Rattus norvegicus: one gene and its partners. The protein of the gene in region 1 binds, or shares a complex with, the protein of each later gene. Links are inferred from orthologs where the notes say so. Each region holds a gene or a part of one and is shown in the gene's direction. Other genes may lie near its edges.

What was found.
Region 2: the proteins of Rela (region 1) and Nfkbib are in contact, whole or in part, in a crystal structure (PDB 1K3Z), measured with the Mus musculus proteins. The link is inferred for Rattus norvegicus from reciprocal best matches to the Homo sapiens genes RELA and NFKBIB. Residues at the interface, in NP_033071.1 of Mus musculus: Lys218, Lys221, Ser240, Gln241, Ala242, Asp243, Val244, Arg246, Gln247, Asp294, Arg295, Arg297, Ile298, Lys301, Arg302, Arg304, Thr305, Tyr306, Thr308, Phe309, Ile312, Met313, Ser316, Pro317, Phe318, Gly320; in NP_001293151.1 of Mus musculus: Tyr53, Thr55, Glu56, Asp57, Asp59, Ala61, Leu64, Ala65, Ile67, His68, Gln69, His70, Pro72, Phe73, Phe76, Asn91, Leu93, Gln95, Leu100, Ile103, Leu104, Gly105, Arg125, Val137, Arg275, Leu283, Arg284, Asp306, Lys307, Leu308.
Region 3: the proteins of Rela (region 1) and Kpna4 are in contact, whole or in part, in a crystal structure (PDB 7LF4), measured with the Homo sapiens proteins. The link is inferred for Rattus norvegicus from reciprocal best matches to the Homo sapiens genes RELA and KPNA4. Residues at the interface, in NP_068810.3 of Homo sapiens: Lys301, Arg302, Lys303, Arg304, Thr305, Tyr306, Glu307, Phe309; in NP_002259.1 of Homo sapiens: Lys231, Asp271, Arg306, Asn310, Val312, Thr313, Gly314, Thr315, Asp316, Thr319, Lys344, Glu345, Trp348, Ser351, Asn352, Ala355, Glu387, Trp390.
Region 4: the proteins of Rela (region 1) and Nfkbia are in contact, whole or in part, in a crystal structure (PDB 1NFI), measured with the Homo sapiens proteins. The link is inferred for Rattus norvegicus from reciprocal best matches to the Homo sapiens genes RELA and NFKBIA. Residues at the interface, in NP_068810.3 of Homo sapiens: Arg50, His181, Lys221, Ser238, Phe239, Ser240, Gln241, Ala242, Asp243, Arg246, Arg253, Asp294, Arg295, Ile298, Lys301, Arg302, Arg304, Thr305, Tyr306, Thr308, Phe309, Ile312; in NP_065390.1 of Homo sapiens: Thr71, Glu72, Asp73, Asp75, Phe77, Leu80, Ala81, Ile83, His84, Glu85, Glu86, Leu89, Leu110, Gln112, Leu117, Ile120, Thr121, Asn122, Phe142, Arg143, Leu150, Gln154, Arg218, Asp226, Leu227, Gln249, Tyr251, Gln255, Leu256, Trp258.
Region 5: the proteins of Rela (region 1) and Setd6 are in contact, whole or in part, in a crystal structure (PDB 3RC0), measured with the Homo sapiens proteins. The link is inferred for Rattus norvegicus from reciprocal best matches to the Homo sapiens genes RELA and SETD6. Residues at the interface, in NP_068810.3 of Homo sapiens: Glu307, Thr308, Phe309, Lys310, Ser311, Ile312; in NP_001153777.1 of Homo sapiens: Ser120, Trp122, Val220, Met221, Ala222, Tyr223, Ser224, Phe225, Gln226, Glu227, Pro228, Pro238, Asn239, Ser240, Pro241, Asn259, Leu260, Tyr262, Asn283, Thr284, Tyr285, Met288, Met296, Tyr297.

Annotation. Positions count from the first base shown.
Region 1 is NC_086019.1:212,353,064-212,357,142, forward strand, and holds the start of Rela (transcription factor p65), read left to right. Parts: upstream 1-1,272; 5' UTR 1,273-1,333; coding exon 1,334-1,340; intron 1,341-1,926; coding exon 1,927-1,953; intron 1,954-2,044; coding exon 2,045-2,196; intron 2,197-2,351; coding exon 2,352-2,500; intron 2,501-3,372; coding exon 3,373-3,464; intron 3,465-3,790; coding exon 3,791-3,922; intron 3,923-4,079. UniProt on the Homo sapiens protein: NF-kappa-B is a pleiotropic transcription factor present in almost all cell types and is the endpoint of a series of signal transduction events that are initiated by a vast array of stimuli related to many biological processes such as inflammation, immunity, differentiation, cell growth, tumorigenesis and apoptosis.
Region 2 is NC_086019.1:93,175,846-93,178,391, reverse strand, and holds part of Nfkbib (NF-kappa-B inhibitor beta), read left to right. Parts: intron 1-1,749; coding exon 1,750-1,855; intron 1,856-1,938; coding exon 1,939-2,272; intron 2,273-2,546. UniProt on the Homo sapiens protein: Inhibits NF-kappa-B by complexing with and trapping it in the cytoplasm.
Region 3 is NC_086020.1:155,649,241-155,652,751, reverse strand, and holds part of Kpna4 (importin subunit alpha-3), read left to right. Parts: intron 1-1,020; coding exon 1,021-1,152; intron 1,153-3,511. UniProt on the Homo sapiens protein: Functions in nuclear protein import as an adapter protein for nuclear receptor KPNB1. Binds specifically and directly to substrates containing either a simple or bipartite NLS motif.
Region 4 is NC_086024.1:78,594,267-78,598,454, reverse strand, and holds the start of Nfkbia (NF-kappa-B inhibitor alpha), read left to right. Parts: upstream 1-1,382; 5' UTR 1,383-1,501; coding exon 1,502-1,728; intron 1,729-2,237; coding exon 2,238-2,346; intron 2,347-2,677; coding exon 2,678-2,888; intron 2,889-3,158; coding exon 3,159-3,247; intron 3,248-3,340; coding exon 3,341-3,601; coding exon of another isoform or gene 3,602-3,688; exon of another isoform or gene 3,689-4,061; coding exon 4,062-4,109; 3' UTR 4,110-4,188. UniProt on the Homo sapiens protein: Inhibits the activity of dimeric NF-kappa-B/REL complexes by trapping REL (RELA/p65 and NFKB1/p50) dimers in the cytoplasm by masking their nuclear localization signals.
Region 5 is NC_086037.1:9,353,708-9,357,901, reverse strand, and holds the start of Setd6 (N-lysine methyltransferase SETD6), read left to right. Parts: upstream 1-1,386; 5' UTR 1,387-1,413; coding exon 1,414-1,750; intron 1,751-1,827; coding exon 1,828-1,969; intron 1,970-2,084; coding exon 2,085-2,279; intron 2,280-2,402; coding exon 2,403-2,523; intron 2,524-2,848; coding exon of another isoform or gene 2,849-2,920; intron 2,921-3,285; coding exon 3,286-3,466; intron 3,467-3,553; coding exon 3,554-3,696; intron 3,697-3,845; coding exon 3,846-4,151; 3' UTR 4,152-4,194. UniProt on the Homo sapiens protein: Protein-lysine N-methyltransferase. Monomethylates 'Lys-310' of the RELA subunit of NF-kappa-B complex, leading to down-regulation of NF-kappa-B transcription factor activity. Monomethylates 'Lys-8' of H2AZ (H2AZK8me1).

The DNA of each region.
Region 1 (4,079 bases):
TTCATATTAATTAAATTGCAACTATATGTCAGTTTTTAAAAGTGGTTCGTGCGAGGATCAATGATGGCTGTGTGCCATTAATCGGAGACCATAATTCATTCTGTCACCTTGATGTCCGCCCCCGCAAAACATTAAACTGCTTTTTCTAATCTGCGCCAAGTGAGAAACTGAAATGAGTGGGAGGGGCGGTAACTATTTTCACTTTTGTCTTCCTGTTTTTTTCAGAGCCTGGGAAAGAAGTCAGAATTTCCAATCTTTTCCAATTCCCACATGATTTCCTAATTTAGAGAAAATAAGTCTTTCTCCATGTGCTAAAGCCTCCTCTGCCCCCCACCCCGCCTCCTCCTTCTGGCATTGTGGAGGGAGCCTGATGTGTTGATTCCTCCAGCCAGTGTCCCCAGACTCAATCTGCACACCCGCCCTTGGCTTAGATGGCAATTTTCTCTCCCTACAAAAGCTTTCATCACTGGAGCTCAGGCTCCTGGGAGGCCTTCAAGGAGATGCTCAAGTGGTGTGACCCTGGCTAGCTCCGGAGATCCCTAGGGATCTGAACCTTAGCAGACAGGACCTATCTGTGGAGGCGAAGCCCTGGAGCTCTTCCAGCATTCATTGCTCTCAGGGACTCTTAGAGGTACAGGTGTCTACCTCGGTCCCCTCTACACCAAGGCCTCAGTCAAGCCTTGATGAAGCATGCTTTGGGAAGCACTCCTGCGCGCAGCCGGATCTAGGTTGGGAGCATATGGCCTGTAACGCGCGGCGGTCCCCAGAAGGCCCTGCACGAGTAGGAAAACGTGTGGAATTCAGTCACTGTGCTCCGCGGAAGCAGCAGGCCTGAGCCTCTCCTTGTGCAGGGCGAATGGCCGCAGCCTGCCAGCAGCCCGGGCTCTGCTCCAGACCAGGCCAGGGTGACATCACCAAACTCTTGAGATCAGAGCGGGGCGGGGAACGGGACCCGAAATCCCCTAAAAACAGAGTGAGTAATCGCGGGCCCGCCCTCCAGGCGGGGCCCGGACACGGAGCGAACCGCGCTGCGTAGTCCGGGAGCGGCTTGCAGTCGGGCGGGCCTCAGGACGAATAGCCTCGGCGTCCTACCGCCGCGCTCCGGTGTCCCCGCCCGCGCGCCGCACACCTTCCGCGCCCAGCGTGAGTTGCGCACCTGCTCTCGGCCCCCACGCGCGTCGGTGGCGGCGGCGCAGCGCGCAGGCGCGGCCGGATTCCGGGCAGTGACGCGACGACGGGCGCGCGCCGCGCATTTCCGCCTCTGGCGAATGGCTTCGCTTTAGCGCGCCGTGGGCTCAGCTGCGACCCCGGCCCCGCCCCCGGGACCCTGGCCATGGACGGTGAGGCTGCCCTCTGGCCCGCGGGACGGCTGCCCTAGAGTTCCGGGACCTGCGGCGGGATCCCCCTCGCGCCGTCTTCCGCCCCTTTCTGCGCCGCGGGTTGCTGCGCAGGGAGCGGCAGGCCGGATGGTGGCACGGGGCGGGGCGGGCTGCGAGGGGTCTGACTCAGTTGCCCCTCTCAGTGGAGGGCGCCTTGACTCAATGTCCCTCCTGGGTGGGAGTACGGGTGAATCTTGACTCAGTTTCCTCCGGCTTCCCCCCCCCACCCACTGTGTCGATGCGATTAGTTCTGGCTTCCTTTCCGTGTAAGGGAGAAAGTATCTGACTCAGTATCCCCCGAAAAGGAGAGGGGGTAGAACCCTTCCTCAGTGTCACTTATGAACGTAAAACAGGCTCTGACTCAGTTTCCCCGGGCAAAGGAATACCTCTGTGCCCCTTTTCTCTAGTAGAGAGATGCTTTTGCCTTCTTTACCTGGCCTCTTTCAGGGCAGGTCTTAGGATCTTGGCTCAGTTTCCTTTGGAGGCATTCCCTGGTGAGGGTGGGTACTGGAGTTTATTGACAGTGTGCCTTGTCTTTCCCTTTCAGATCTGTTTCCCCTCATCTTTCCCTCAGGTAAGTGGACCATCCTTCCTCAGTAGGTAGGGGCTGTCCTGGAGTAGGGGCCATGGGGGCAGCACCTAATGGCTGACCGTATCACCCACAGAGCCAGCCCAGGCTTCTGGGCCATATGTGGAGATCATTGAGCAGCCCAAGCAGCGGGGCATGCGTTTCCGTTACAAGTGCGAGGGCCGCTCTGCAGGCAGTATTCCTGGGGAGAGAAGCACAGATACCACTAAGACGCACCCCACCATCAAGGTAAGCAAGAGCCCCCAGGGGTGTCGGGGTGGGGACACAGATGTGGTGGAAGGCACTGTGGAGCCCCAGCAGACTTGCCTCCTTGCCACCGCGCCCCGTGTCTAGGAGCCAGATTTGGGATTGCTGGCCTCTAAAGTACTCTGTACTTTGGACAGATCAATGGCTACACGGGACCAGGAACAGTTCGAATCTCCCTGGTCACCAAAGACCCACCTCACCGGCCTCATCCACATGAACTTGTGGGGAAGGACTGCCGGGATGGCTTCTATGAGGCTGAACTCTGCCCAGACCGATGCATCCACAGGTGAGTCTGAATAGATAGGCTGGGGGTAGTGTGAGGTCAGGGTAGGTAGGGGGCAGGGTAAGAGCAGGCTGGGCCAGGCAGCTGTTACAAAGTTACACTTTTCTAAACACTGGCAGAATCCAGAGTCCTTGCTCTGTCCCCAGGTCTGCAAACAGACCCCCTTTGTCTTAAATTCGCTAACAGATGGGAACTCTTTATCTTGGAGCGACAGATCCTTTATGACTGGATAGCCCAGTCCCTTAGGCTCTTGTATCAGAAAGTCCGTAATGGACTCTCCTAGAGCTTAAATACCAGTTGGTAAAACCAGGGGACAGTTGTACAAACAGATAGAAAAGATACTAGTGGAGAATTATAATTTCCATGATGAAAAGAAAACACAGTAATAAATTAGAAGGAGGAGGAGGCTGGTCTCGTGGCATAGGGACAGAGTCTCATATAGCTGAAGCTGGCCTTGCACTCATGAGGGTTCACCTACCTCCTCTTCTCAACTCCAAGGGTAATAGGCGCGTAGCACCATGTCCTGTTACGTAGGTCTCATGACTTTGGGTTGGAAGATTGCAGAAGGCCTCTGTGCTAACACTCAAATGGTGAGAAAAAGCAGACAAGCCCAAAAGAACATTGCATGCACAAGAAAGAAGTATGGTGACCTGGAAAAGGGACTAAGTTTAGTGTGCTCAGGGACGGGACAGGAAGGCCCTGTGGCTGAGGCTAGGACACTGACTTGGGGGCTGGTGTGGGCCAGGTCCCTCAGAGACTCGCCAGTGGGTAAGGAGTGGGTTCATTGTAGCACAGTGGGAAGCCTTGAGCTGTGAGCTGAGGAGTGGGAAGAGGGTGTTCTTTTGGAGACACAGAACTAATGCCTGAGGCCTCAGCTTCCAGAACCTGGGGATCCAGTGTGTGAAGAAGCGAGACCTGGAGCAAGCCATTAGCCAGCGCATCCAGACCAACAATAACCCCTTTCAAGGTAGGAGCAAGGGGCAGGACATAGCCTGCCTGTGGTGCACATTCTGCCACCTTCCCTGGGCCTCTGGCGCTCCTCACCCTCCATGACCAACCCAACAGTACAAGTGGAACCTCGCTGCCAGCATGGTACACACTCACATGCTACCGTTGAGAGTCAGGCCTAGAAAGGGGTGGTGTATTCAGGTCCCAGTAGAGCCGTGATGGGTCTAGGATTTTGTCTTCCTCCCCTTAGACTTCTGTTTTATATATCCTCAAATCACCTTCCTCTTCCCTCAGAGCTCCCTGCCCTCCCCATGCCTTCCACCACTTTTTTTTTTTTTTTGACAGTTCCCATAGAGGAGCAGCGCGGGGACTATGACTTGAATGCGGTCCGCCTCTGCTTCCAGGTGACAGTGCGGGACCCATCAGGCAGGCCCCTCCGCCTGACCCCTGTCCTCTCGCATCCGATTTTTGATAACCGTAAGTGGCCAGCTGCAGTAAGGGGAGAGGGTGGGCTTGGGAAGAGAATGGGGCTGGGGTGGGTGTGGCCTTGCTGCAGGGGGCAGGGCAGAGAAGACCCAGAGCTGCCTCTGTGGGAAGCTTGCAGGATGCCCTGGAGTTGGATGGGAAGTGACTG
Region 2 (2,546 bases), about 120 Mb from region 1:
CTGGGAATTGAACTCAAGACCTCTGGAAGAGCAATCAGTGCTCTTAACTGCTGAGCCATCCCTCCTACCCTAGCCTTAAACTCTTGGCCTTCCTGCCTGGGATTCCAGGCAAGGTGGTGCAAGGCTGGTTTCTGCAGAGTTGGGGTTGAGCCTTATGTGTGCTAAGCTAGCACTCCCAAGTAAGCCACTGCCTAGCTCACCTTTCTTCTTTTCTTTTTTTTTGTTTTTTGTTTTTTCTTTTTCTTTTTTTCGGAGCTGGGGACCGAACCCAGGGCCTTGTGCTTGCTAGGCAAGCGCTCTACTACTGAGCTAAATCCCCAACCCACCTTTCTTCTTTTCTAATGTGCTCGGAATGCTGTACATATTTCCTCTGGAGAACTTCTGATAGACTGTGTTTTGTTTTTAGCATAATTGAGTATATTTTTTAATTTCTCTTTTGATTTCTCCTTCAGCCAGTAGGTAATAAAGAAGTACATTCATTTTCCACACTTGGAGGACTTTCCAGACCTCTTTCTGTCACCGGCTTTAAATTTCATTTCACTGAGGGCAGAGAACATGCTTTGTCTGATTTGCGGTCTCTGGTTTTTTTCTAGCGGTGCTGGCCATCAAACCCAGGGCCTCCTGAGTGTTAGGCAAGGGCTCTCAGGAACTGTGTCCCACAGATTTCATTCTGATGATGCGTGACTTAGAGGTAATGTTGGTTAGCAGTGTTGTTCAAAGCTGGGTGTGTAATTCCAGCCACAAAGAAGACGGAGACAGGAGGAGTTCAAGGTTAGGGCCTGCCTAGGAAGAGAGTAAATTCAAGGCCAGCCTGGGGACATTCATAGCAAGGCCCTGTTTCACAATAAAGGGAACCAACAGGAGGAAACTCGGTGGCACAGAGCTTCCCTGCATGCCCGCTACCTTAGATTCAGTCCACACAACTGCAGAGTCAAGGCGGCCGCTCCTGAAGAACGGTGCCTTTCAAGTTGACTCTGTTCCTGTTTTTCTGTTTATTCAAACAGTTGGTGACAGAGACCTATTGAGATCACCAGTCTATGGATCCATCTGTTGCTACTTCTCCTTGTTATTAGATCTGTGTGCATGTATGTGTGTGTGTGCGTGTGTGTGTGTGTGTGTGTGTGTGTGGTATGAGTGATGTGTGTGTATATATGGTGTGTGTGTGTGCGTGGTGTGTGTGTGTTGTGTGTGTGGTGTATGTGATGTGTGTGTGTATATGGTGTGTGTGGTGTGTATGTGTGGTGTATGTGTCTGTGTGTGTGTGGTGTGTTTCTGTGTCTATGTGTTTCTGTGTGTGTGTGTGTGTGTGTGTGTGTGTGTGTGTGTGTGATAGAATCTCATTATTTAGCATTTAACACTGCTGGTTTAGAACTCACCATGTAGTTCAGTCTGGCCTTGAACTAACAATCCTCCTACTTTAGTTTTCCCACGTACTAGCATTAGAGCTATTACACCTGATTATATTACTCAGTAAATACTGGTGAAACAAAGTCGGTAGCTGGGGCCTATTTGCACAGGCTTGTCAACCTTGCCACTCAGGAAGCTGAGGCAGGAGGGACTTGAACTCAAGGTCAGTGTGGGCAACTTATGAAGACCATCTTATCTCAGAACACCAACCCCGTCAGACAAAGTTTCTGGATTACCTTCTGCCCCCTGACTCTCCCAAACACTGAAATGTTTCCAACTGTGGCCACAGTTTGCAGCACATAGAAGACACTCTGTGTTACTGACCTTTGCCTTTGTCCCCAGAGCCCTGCACTTGGCCGTGATACATCAGCACGAGCCCTTCCTGGATTTCCTCCTGGGCTTCTCTGCCGGCACTGAGTACCTGGACTTGCAGAACGACCTAGGCCAAGTGAGCCACTGGGGATGTTTGCTGTAGGGAGCCGGGTCCAGCATTGTCAGTGTGGCCCTAACCCCTTCCCTCTATCCCTGTAGACAGCCCTGCACCTAGCAGCCATCCTTGGAGAGGCATCTACAGTAGAGAAACTCTATGCAGCTGGCGCAGGAGTGTTGGTGACTGAGAGAGGGGGCCACACAGCACTGCACTTGGCCTGCCGTGTGAGGGCACACACGTGTGCATATGTACTGCTTCAGCCCCGTCCCAGCCACCCAAGAGATGCCTCAGATACCTACCTCACTCAGAGCCAGGACCACACCCCAGACACCAGCCATGCCCCTGTTGCCACGGACCCCCAACCCAACCCAGGGAACGAAGAGGAGCTGCGTGATGAAGATTGGAGGCTGCAGCTAGAAGCTGAAAACTATGATGGTGAGGGCCCCGGGCCCCAGGGAGGATGTGAGCTCCTGGCTCCTCTCGCCCAGCCTGAGATGCAGCTGATGCCCTTGGACATAGCTCAGTTGGTGGGGTGCTCATCTGGCATATGTAAAGCCCTAGGTTCGATCCCCAGCGTAAACAGTATGGTGGTGTATGCCTATAATACCCTGTGTTGGGAACAAGAGGAGGAATTTAAGGTCATCCTGGTGCTACTTAGCTAGCTTGAGGCCAGGCTAGGTTACAGGAGACTGAAACAGATACCTAGTCC
Region 3 (3,511 bases), on another chromosome or scaffold:
ACTCTGTTCTTCCTTCCTTGTTTCCCGAGAGCAGTTATAGGCATGCACTACCATGCTCAACTGCTTTCTTAAATTTCTAAAGGAGCTATGCTGTGCTGTTCCCCCCCCCCTTTTTTTTTCTTTTTTTTTTTTTTCTTTTTTTTTTTTTTTGAGCTGGGGACCGAACCCAGGGCCTTGAGCTTGCTAGGCAAGTGCTGTACCGCTGAGCTAAATCCCCAACCCTGCTGTTTCCCTTTTACAGTCTCTTTAGTGTCTTAATCATAATATTGGTTAGGAATTGAAAAGGTTTTAAACTTCTTTTTTTTGATACAGAGTTCAAAGGGTTTTGGAGTTCCAGATATAGTTGCTATTCCTGAGGGAGTTTTTTTTATAAACAATTGTGTTATTTATATATCACCTTTTACTGTCTTTTTACCCTACTGTCCTTTGGCCATGGTTTGAAGTAGGGTTTAGAATACAAAGAAGGATCAAACACATGACTCGCATTATTATAAATTAATCAAAACCCCTCTTCCCCCATAGTAGCAGTGATATGAAGTAATTATTTTTTCAGGAGTTACTGTTTTTTATATATTTCTTACCTTGATCTTTATCTGTGGTTGGTTGGTTGGTTTTCTATTTAATATGCTGTATAGTTTGCATGTGTAGTTTGCTGAATTAGGATTAGATACTGATAAGGGACTTGGACTATAACTTACACATCTTAAACACAGCTATAGAATAGAGATTGATGTTCTCTAGTGAGTTGAAGGAAGAAGAGAAAGATCTCATGTTATGGTTAAGAATTATTAAAATTGCCGAATATGGTAGCTCATGTCTTTAATCCCAGCATTCAGAAGGCAGAGGCAGGTAGATCTCTATGTTTGGGGCCAGCCTGGTCTACAGAGCAAGTTCCACGACAACTAGAGCTGCACACAGAAACCCTGTTTCAAAATCCTATGCCCCTCCCCAAGAAAAATCAAAAGGAAATATTACAACGAGAAAATATTGAAATACTTGAACTTTTCTTTTACTTATTAGATACTGGTAGATACTGTCTGGGCCCTATCTTACCTTACGGATGCTGGCAATGAGCAGATACAGATGGTAATAGACTCTGGAATAGTTCCTCATTTGGTTCCGCTACTCAGCCACCAGGAAGTTAAAGTTCAGGTAGGTTTATTTTGATTAAATTGGGTTTTTCTCACCATGCTTTAAGCATGGCATTCAAAGATGAACAGTTTTGTTTTTTTTTTTTTTTAATTAAAGCATACTATTCACCTAACAATGTAATGTGTCCTTGATGGGAAAAGGTGAGTTATTTTAGTTTTAAAGGTGGAGAAATCGAGATAAAACTACTGTAGTTTATTAAGAACTGCCCTTCCCTACCAGACAGGGAGACACTACTGTGAAGAACTGATTTTCAATACCAAGAAGTATAATTAGTGTAGCACCTTGGGTGGCATCTGAAACCATTCTTGTTTTCTTTTTCCGTTCCTTCGCCCCCACTCAGTTGTGCAGCACTTGCCTCACTTGTACGAAGTTCAGCCTCTACTGTACCACATCCACATAAGCGTACTTGGCACGTGCATGCACACTCAAACACAGTGATGGTCAAACTGCAGGGCTAAAGCAGAACCAGAAAGCCTTCCCTGCATTTTTTAAGGTAAAAGTGGTCTTTAATCCTAGAATGATCTAAAGTCAACTGAGCAGTTGTATTAAGGAAAGCTATAGCCTAAGTTACCTTTCTTGCCCTTTGCTGGACGTTAGAATCAACAATGAAGCTTAAAGGGAATAAAAGAAAAAAAGGCCCAGTTCAGATCCTCAGCACCTACATAAAAGCTGATGTGGCAATTTGTGCCTGTAAGCCCAGGACTGAGGTGGCACAGGGGGATCCTGGTAGTTCAGTTACTCCAAGCTCAGTGAGAGACCATGCCTCAAAATAATAATTATATAAAAGGAAAACAACAGAGGAAAACACATGATTTCAAGCTCATTATACATGTGTATGCAAACTAAAGAAAAAGTCCCCCTTTAATCTCAGCACTTGGGAGGCAGAGGAGGATGGATCTCTTCAGTTCAAGGCCAGCCTGGTCTTCAGAGTTCCAGTATAGCTAGGACTATACAGAGGAACCCTGTATCAAAAATCAAAAAAATAGAAACGGCTAATTTAGAAAGATTTGACCAATGCTAGTTATTTAAATGTATGATTTATTGTAAATATCTTTGTTACATGTTTATTATTAAATTTGCATCTTTTGTGTATATGTATGATTTATGTACACACACACACACACACACACACACACACACACACACACGCAGCAAGTATGCACCCAGAAGCCAGAAGAGGACACTGGGTGTGCTGTCAGCATCCCCACTATACTAGGGATACAAGTGGACACATGAACTTGACTGGCTCTTTAACAAGGTTTCTGAGGATTTGATTTAGCAAGAACTCTGATCTGCTGAGCAAAACCCAAATTTACAAGTGATAAGTTTGCTATTTTTATTTTTGTTGGTTTTACTTTGTTTTTACTTTACCCAGGATCTGGTAGTACAGTCCCATGATCCCAGCACTTTCAAAATGGAGATAGAAGGAAGATCACACAGCTAGCCTGAGCTACATGAAACTGCGCGCATGCATGCACACACGCACATATGTGCCTACACACACACCAGAACTCAAACACTACTTTAGTTGTATTGCACACACACACCAAAAACTCACACAGTACTTCCTTAGTCTTAATACTGGCCTTAGAATTATGGCTTTTAGTATAGGGCTAGGAGTTGTCTTTGAGGCAGTCTTCAGAGAAAGTTAATGCTCTGTACTTTATCAGTAACAGATGTTTTCTTAAGCTTCTCATGTCGTGTAGGCTTAATCTGTATCCCTACTCCCCCTAAAATTTAGACATAATTATTATCTCGTTTGGCATATTATTTCATTTATCTGACTTCTTCAAAAATTAAGACGTTTTAAAAACCTAGGATGGGGGAAATGGCTCAGCAACTAAGAATACTAACTGCTCTCCCAGACAGCCCAGATTTGACTCTGAGCACTCTTGTGGTAGCTCTCAGTTGTTTGTAGCTCCAGTTCAAGGGAATCCAATCCTTCCTTCTGGCTTCCTCAGGTACAAGGCATGCATGTGGTACACAGACCTGCATGCAGGCAGAAAACCTAACACATTAAAAAAATAAATACCAAAACAAAGAACAAAAAAGTGGCTAAAAGATTTGCAATTTTCTAAGAAAGACATAAAAATGGTCAATGAGCACCTGAAAAAAGATGCCCCAAAACTGTAGTTATTAAGGAAATGTGAGTTGAACTAGACAACTGTTCACATTGAGAATGACTACAATTAAAAGACAGCAATGTGGACAAAGAAGGGTCACATTGCTATGGCAGCATTAGAGTATACAGTCCTTAAAAGTGAGACACAGAGTACTGTGTGACAATATTCCTCCTGTTCTGTGCATTCAAGATTGTGGAGATACACTGGTCCACTCAGAAATCTTAATACAAATGCCT
Region 4 (4,188 bases), on another chromosome or scaffold:
TGATGAAGAGGATTTGCTGAGGAAGTCTTAACTTTAACGTGACGTTGTTGTCTGGAAGTTTTTGTTTTTTCCTGGACTTTGAATCTTTTCCCCCAGTGTCCTCACTTTCATACTGTGGGGGAGGCAGTGGAATTACGAAGAGAGGAGAGTTGCTACAAGGCTCAACAAGAAAAAGATCACTCAAATTTCACCAGAAATCTATGCAGAACAGGAAGCCTACTGGGTCTATTCTGACAAACTGTGATCCAAGTTGCTTTAATTTTCCCGAGTTACCTCACACTTGCAGGCTCCTAAGTCGGGATGGGGTGGAAGCAACACTTCTACTTTTGCAGGTAAAACTAGGGGATCACAGGCCCAAATCCCTTTCTTGAGGAGTAGCCACCCACAATGCTGCGGTCCCTGGGAAGCAAGGAAGCTAGTAGAACCAGCAGGTTTCAGATGTGGTCAGTGTTAGGACTATGTTGAGCCTCCTGCAGGATGCTTCAAAGTTACTTTCTTAGCTATGTTTAAGAGGCTAGGGCACTAAACCAGTTGTTCTGCTAGGCATTCACAATAAGCTCCGGCTTTATTCTCTACAAGTTAACAAGTTAACTCCAACAGCAAGAACTCAACAGTTTCTGTTGCATGGAAGCTACAACTTCTACAAAGATTAACACCTTGCATTACTTGGGGGAAAATGTGGTTCCCATATGGAGCTAGACTTTGCCCCTCCCCCGCTGCCCCTCCCCCGGGCGAGATTATTGACCCCTCGGAATTAATCTAGGGGTTCTCCAGGCGCTTGGATTTTGTTGTTGTTGTTATTGGTTTTGTTTGTTTGAATGCCAAAGTGTCTACAGCTTCGAGGGGGGATGGTGAAGGGCAGCCAAATGTCCATGCACTGCAAAGAGCCTGAAACACAGACGACCCGGAATCACTCATACGTCCGTCGTCGCAGAAATTTAGGAGAAGCGAATCCCTGCACCCAGCCAGCCATTTCCACTCTTGGGTTTTCAAAAGATCAAGAACCGGAAAGGACCTGCAAATTGGCAAATCTCTAAGAGGAACAGCCTAGCAGGTTTGCGTCCTTGGAATCTCAGCAGCTTGGGACCCCAAACCAAAGTCGTCGGTGGGAAACCCCAGGGAAAGAAGGGCTCTTGTAGAACGCTGGGGTTACTGAGTGCAGGCTGCAGGGAAGTACCTAGAGGGAGGGGGCCTGGTCGGGAGGACTTTCCAGCCACTCAGGGCTCATCAAAAAGTTCCCTGTACATGACCCCAGTGGCTCATCGTAGGGAGTTTCTCTGATGAACCCCGGCCCTGGGTTTAGGCTTCTCAGTCGAGGACGAGCCAGTTCTTTTTCTAGTCTGACTGGCTTGGAAATTCCCCGCGCCTGACCCCGCCCCTGAGAAATCCCCTGCCAGCGTTTATAGGGCGCCGAGGCGGCGCTGCCGAGCCCACAACAGTCTGAACTCGCCACCCAACTGCCAGCAGCCTGCACCCTGCACCCGCTCAGCTCCGCACAGCCATGTTTCAGCCAGCTGGGCACGGCCAGGACTGGGCCATGGAGGGCCCGCGGGACGGCCTCAAGAAGGAGCGGTTGGTGGACGACCGCCACGACAGCGGCTTGGACTCCATGAAGGACGAGGATTACGAGCAGATGGTGAAGGAGCTGCGGGAGATCCGCCTGCAGCCGCAGGAGGCGCCTCTGGCTGCCGAGCCCTGGAAGCAACAGCTCACGGAGGACGGAGACTCGTAAGTGGCGGCGGGCTCGGGCATGGGCACGGGCGGGGTCGCGCGGGGCCTGCACCGCGCTCGGGGCTCTGCACGGCGGGGCTGCGGGGCTACGGGGCTACAGAGCTGCGGGCGCCGGGCCGCCTGCCTCCCCATCCCCCCACCCCATTTCCCGGGACCCGGAGTAGCCGAGCGCAGGCCGGGGGCGGGGCGGCAACGAGGACGCAAAGTCCCCGCCTGGCAGAGTTTCCGCGCAGCCGCCGGGCGCTGCGCGGCCGCGAGGGGAAGTACAGGGCGTTCCGGGCGGCGGAGGGCGGGCCGGTCTGGCCGGCGCCCGCCCGGAGGGGGTGGGGCACGGAAAGTCCCTGGGCGGCTGCCAGGAACACTCAGCTCATAATAACCTCGCGGAAAACACCGCGGCCGCGGCCTCCAGAAACCCCGGCCTTGCGCAATCCCCCGCAGCCCGCGCCTCTCGGGGGCCCCACGCAGTGCGCTCACCACCCCTGGGGGGTTTCCCTGTCATCCCGCAGGTTCCTGCACTTGGCAATCATCCATGAAGAGAAGACACTGACCATGGAAGTGATTGGTCAGGTGAAGGGAGACCTGGCCTTCCTCAACTTCCAGAACAACCTGCAGCAGGTGCGGGCTTGCCCAGCTGTGCCCTCTTTGACCCCGTGGTGGAGTTAGATGAAGCTCAGTCGCCCCCAAAGCGTTTCTAAATTAACAGTCACGGTCCTTATCTGCCCTGGCCTTTTACATTCAAATTAGCCAAAGTCTTAGAGCAAGAAGGAAAATCCCAAGGGTTGGTTGAGGTCTTTATGACCCACGTAGGGCCTCCTGTTTGCCTGATCTCCTGTAGACAAATGGGAGGAGGGGATTCTGTAATAGGAGGTGTCTGGGGTTCAGGAAACTCAAGACTATGGGTTTGCTCCATGGCTTAGGCTCTTTCTGTTTCCTCTTCCATTCGTAGACTCCACTCCACTTGGCTGTGATCACCAACCAGCCAGGAATTGCTGAGGCACTTCTGAAAGCTGGCTGTGATCCTGAGCTCCGAGACTTTCGAGGAAATACCCCTCTCCATCTTGCCTGTGAGCAGGGCTGCCTGGCCAGTGTAGCAGTCTTGACTCAGACCTGTACGCCCCAGCATCTCCACTCCGTCCTGCAGGCCACCAACTACAACGGTAGGTCTGCCAGTCCATCCAGGGACGCAGAGAAGGGAGAGACGGGTCCCCTTGAGTCTAGCCTGGAGCTAAAACGCCTCAACGTATAAGAAGTTCAGGCAGTGTGGACTTTTAAAAAGTCTTCTCCATGATTCCTACATGACGTTCACTGAGAACCCAGACTTTTGAGTTCTTCAAAATTGAGGTTGTTTGTGGTTGTCCCCAAGAAAGGAGACGTGACTTGTGTGAGGATTGAAACAAGTGGTTACAGTTCCGTCTTATATCCTGCAGGCCACACGTGTCTACACTTAGCCTCTATCCATGGCTACCTGGGCATCGTGGAGCACTTGGTGACTTTGGGTGCTGATGTCAACGCTCAGGTGAGTACTTCCCCTTCCTCCTAAACTCTGCTGGGCTGGCTCTTACTGTGAGCAGATTTCCAGATAAACACTTCTGATTGCCTTTGGTTTCAGGAGCCCTGTAATGGCCGGACAGCCCTCCACCTTGCAGTGGACCTGCAGAATCCTGACCTGGTCTCGCTCCTGTTGAAGTGTGGGGCTGATGTCAACAGAGTAACCTACCAGGGCTACTCCCCCTACCAGCTTACGTGGGGCCGCCCAAGTACCCGGATACAGCAGCAGCTGGGCCAGCTGACCCTGGAAAATCTTCAGACGCTGCCCGAGAGTGAGGATGAGGAGAGCTATGACACGGAGTCAGAATTCACGGAAGATGAGGTGCGTGTTCATTACTGCCAGAGTGGTCCATTCTCCCTCACCACACCTAGGTCTGTTCTAGAGCTGTTCTGTATCATAGGGACCTGAGTTATTCAACTTCTCAGTCTCAGCTTGCAAAGCCAGGATCCCAAGAACGTGTCTCTGGTTTGCTTTAATAGCTTACCCTTGTGGGTTTCGGAATGGGGCAGTAAGAGGGAGTTGTGGGAATTGAACCCAGGCTTTAACACGTGGTAATAGGCACATGTTCTACCATTGAGCTATGTCCCCTGCAATAGCTTAGACTTTTGAAAGGAGAGAATTGGTGAAGGGAACTCCTGCAGCCCGGCGCCTGCGTTCTGTTTAGGCTGAGGAGGAGAGAGTCCAGGAATGGGAGTTATTTGTAGAAGCAGCTCTCCCGCCATCCCAATGGCTTGGCGAAGTTCTAGGAATCTAATGTGCCTTTTTCCCTCTCTTGTTCCAGTTGCCCTACGATGACTGTGTGTTTGGAGGCCAGCGTCTGACGTTATAAGAGGAAAGTGGCCAAAGGAACGTGGACTTGTATATTTGTACAAATAGAGTTTTATTTTTCTAAAAAAAAAAAAGAAAAA
Region 5 (4,194 bases), on another chromosome or scaffold:
CCATTTCCAGACTGCTCTGAAGTCCAGTGGAGTGTATCCTATCCCTGGTTCTGTTCACTCACGTGCTTCCGTGAATACCGAGTGTGACTGTTTAAAGCTGGCAGAATTAATCCCTTACTGTAGATAGCACTTCAAGTATTGGACATCTTTTTGCTGTGTTCTTAAGATATCTATAAATACCTATACATTATATATATATGTATGTATATCGGGTCCTTCTGTATGTGGTTTCCCATTGATGGTTGTCTTCTCTTTGGTCAGGATGAACTTTTAATGGAGTTCATTACTTCCCTCTCTGTACAAAGTTAAGAGCCTAATTTTGTGTATTCTGGTGGCTGATAAGAGACTTTGAGATTACAAAATGCAAAACAAAAATCCTTATTGATATAGAAAGATATCTGTGCAGAAAAACTAATAAAGAAATTAAGCGTATGTGTGCCGTGCTTTCTATCACAGGGGAGGTTGCCTTAGATTCAGACAGGTGGAGGATAGTAAACATCTGTGTGTACCTCTACACCGTCAGTGCCTGGTCTGCACGTTTGTGGTGGGGGAGGGCTGAGTAGCCTCATTCTGTAGACAAAGCTGGTCTTGAATACTCAGCAGTTCTACTTCAGCGTCCTGGGTCCTTTGTTTTTTGTTTTTTTTCCTTTTGGGGTGATAGAGATTGAATCAGGGCGTTCACACACAATGGGCAAGGTTCTACCAAGTATATGGCACAGGCTATATACTCTGAGATATAGTTTTATCAATCATGACACTAACTCTTTTACAGCTGGGCAGAAAGCTTAGCCAGTGAGACCTCTTCAAAGCAAGGGCACGCCCCTTTTCGTTTGCTTGTCTTTAGTTGCTTTGAGACATGGTCTCACTCCGTAGCCTAGGCTTTCAAGGAACTCCCCATAATTTCCCTGTTTCTGGCTCCCAAGTACTGGAATTAAACTGCCAAGTTCCCCATGTTACCATTTGTACCACCATTCATTCACTTAACACTGACTACTTCCGATGTATCAGCAATTAAAAAAAAAAAACACGTAAGATTCTATCTTATGCAGAAGATGAAAAACAAGGGTAAATTGGCAACTGTGAATGTGTGTGTCTGCCAGATGTGGAAACTCTTCAGACCACTTCAAACCCAGGTGTAAATGGACTAATCGAAGGAAATAGACGGTTATTACCAGTGGTCGGTCACTACGGCACATTAGCCCAGCTCCATGGAGGAAGAAACCGGATTTTGCCCTTGCACCCTGCTCTCGGGGTCGCGCCCAGAACTCGGGTGCAGACAGCACAGAACCAGCCGGTGAGGTCGCGCACGCGCGATTCCCAAGCTGGAGCCGTTTAGAAGGGACACCGAGCTCCGCCCCGTCCGCTCGCGTTCCGCGGCGCCGGAAGCGCCGTGAGGACGCGGCTGCTCGCAGCATGGCTGCCCCGGCGAAGCGCGCGCGGGTAAGCGACGCATCCCCCCTCGCTGCGCCCTGCCCTGTCCCAAGAGCTGCCGCCCGCGTGCCCCTGCCGCTCCCGGCGGGGCCCAGCGGCCACGAGCCCGAGAGTGACGCAGTGGCCGGCTTCCTGCGCTGGTGCACGCGAGTGGGGCTGGAGCTGAGTCCCAAGGTGCTGGTGAGCCGGCAGGGCACGGTGGCCGGCTACGGCATGGTGGCGCGGGAGAGCGTGCAGCCCGGGGAGCTGCTGTTCGCAGTGCCGCGGTCCGCGCTCCTGTCTCCCCACACCTGTTCCATCAGCGACCTGCTCGAGCGAGGTGAGTAAGGGGCAGGGGACTGGCTCTGAGGCTGGCAAGGGAGTCGCGCTTGGACGTTCACCCGCTGTCTTCCCTAGAGCGAGGCGCGCTGCAGAGTCTGTCCGGGTGGGTGCCGCTGCTGCTGGCGCTGCTCCACGAGCTGCAGGCCCCCGCCTCACCCTGGAGCCCCTACTTCGCGCTCTGGCCAGAGCTGGGGCGATTGGAGCATCCCATGTTTTGGTGAGAGTCGAAGGTGAAGGGCCGGGAAGAACCTGTTTCCTTTGCTCTGGGCACCGGGCACCTGCTGCATGGGAGCTGCAGGCTGTGACGGGCCCTGGGTGGGCTGTTCTTGCAGGCCGGAGGAAGAGCGGTTGCGCCTCCTAAAGGGTACAGGTGTCCCAGAGGCCGTGGAGAAGGATTTGGTGAACATCCGTAGCGAATACTATTCCATCGTCCTGCCCTTCATGGAGGCTCACTCCGATCTCTTCAGCCCCACTGTTCGCTCCCTGGAGCTCTATCGCCAGCTCGTGGCTCTTGTCATGGCTTATAGGTAGGTCAGTGATTAAAGCCTAGAGGAGCAGCCCCTCATCTTTGAGGGGGAAGGTGGAAAAGAACAGTTAACTCCAGGCCCCTCACCCAAGACTGGGCCTTAGCTGAGTTCTCTCTGCGGCAGCTTTCAAGAACCGCTGGAGGAGGAGGAGGATGAAAAGGAGCCCAACTCCCCGTTGATGGTGCCCGCTGCAGACATTCTAAACCACATAGCCAATCATAATGCCAACCTAGAGTACTCTGCAGTGAGTGGACCCCCATCCCTGGTCAGGTTGTGTGCATTACAAGTGAAATCACTTGGCTCCAGTTTCCTCCTCCTGTGTACTTTTGGTATGAGACGGTGCGGACACACCCTAAGTTCACCAGAATAGCTGCCTGCTTTGCCAAATCACCTCAGGCCCTGTCCTGGAAAGGCACTTCAGTACTGTTCAAGAGGTGGGATGTTCATGGGCCAGAGGCACAGTAAGCCCCACTTTAGTATCGGTTCTGTATGGAAAATTGAGAAGGTACAGGCACATGCGATGGAGAAATGGGCAAATGTCAGCCTAATGGCTTACACCTGTGTCCTAGGAAGCTGAGGGAGGACCGAAGATGTCAGGCCCAAACTCCCAGGAATCTATACACGCCACTTTGTTCTCCAGTGTAAGCAGATGTGACTTTCACTTATTCTTCACCTCCATTCTACGGTGACTTTAAGTTTAACTTACGTTTTTGAGACATGGTCTTACTATATAGCCCTGGCTAGTGCAGGACTCTTAAGGTTGCCTCCTGAGCGCCAGGTGAGTCACCCGGCCTAGGCTTGTTTAAAGCTGGTGTAGGTAACTAGGCAGGTACACCTGGAATCCTAAACCCAACATACCAACCTCTCAAGTTGGTCTCCCCGCTTCAGTAATGCAGGGCTTAACTTAGCCTCAGCCCACAGTTCAACAGTCTCTTCCAAGGGGAAAGGGGCCTTCATAGGCTGGTGGGGCCGAAGCTGTGGTCCCAGCTTTATCATTTTAACCCAGGAATATCTCCGAATGGTGGCTACTCAACCCATTCTCAAAGGTCACGAAATCTTCAACACATATGGGCAAATGGCTAACTGGCAGCTGATTCACATGTATGGTTTCGCCGAGCCCTACCCTAACAACACAGATGACACAGCGGACATTCAGATGGTGGCAGTCCGCGAAGCTGCACTGCAGGGTGCGTGTGCCCACTCCAGGTTCTGGGGGCCTCTCTGGCGAGCCAGCTTGCTGGAGTTGATGTCCGCTCACTTCCATTACTTTACAGGAACAGAGGATGAAACCGAGAGGCTGCTCCTATGTGAACGCTGGGATTTCCTGTGCAAACAGGAGCTGGTAGGGGAAGAGGGAGCCTTTGTGATAGGTCGTGAGGAGGTGCTGACTGAAGAGGAGCTAGCCACCACACTTAAGGTACAGGGCTAACAGGGTGTGGGTGCTGGCATTTAGACTAACACAAAGGGGACCTAATTTCCCTACAGTGGTCTGGCTGTCTTCCCTACAGTGGTATGGAAGTCACAGATGGGAGCACATCCCATCTCAAGGGCCCGTGTTCCCTCTAGGTACTGTGCATGCCTGCTGAGGAGTTCAGAGACTACAAAGAGCGGGCTGGATGGGGAGAGGAAGAGACTGAAGATGGCAGTCTGGCAATCACAAATATCCCCAAGCTCCAAGAATCGTGGAAACGGCTTCTTCGAGACAGTGTTCTGTTGACCCTACAGACCTATGCCACAGACTTAAAAACTGAGCAGGATTTACTCAGTAACAAGGAGGTCTATGCCAAGCTGAGCTGGCGGGAGCAGCAAGCCTTGCAGGTCCGCTATGGTCAGAAGATGATCTTGCATCGGTTGCTAGAACTCACAAGTTAAGCAGGTATCCTGAGAACCCTTTAAGTTCCTGTTCTATTGCTTG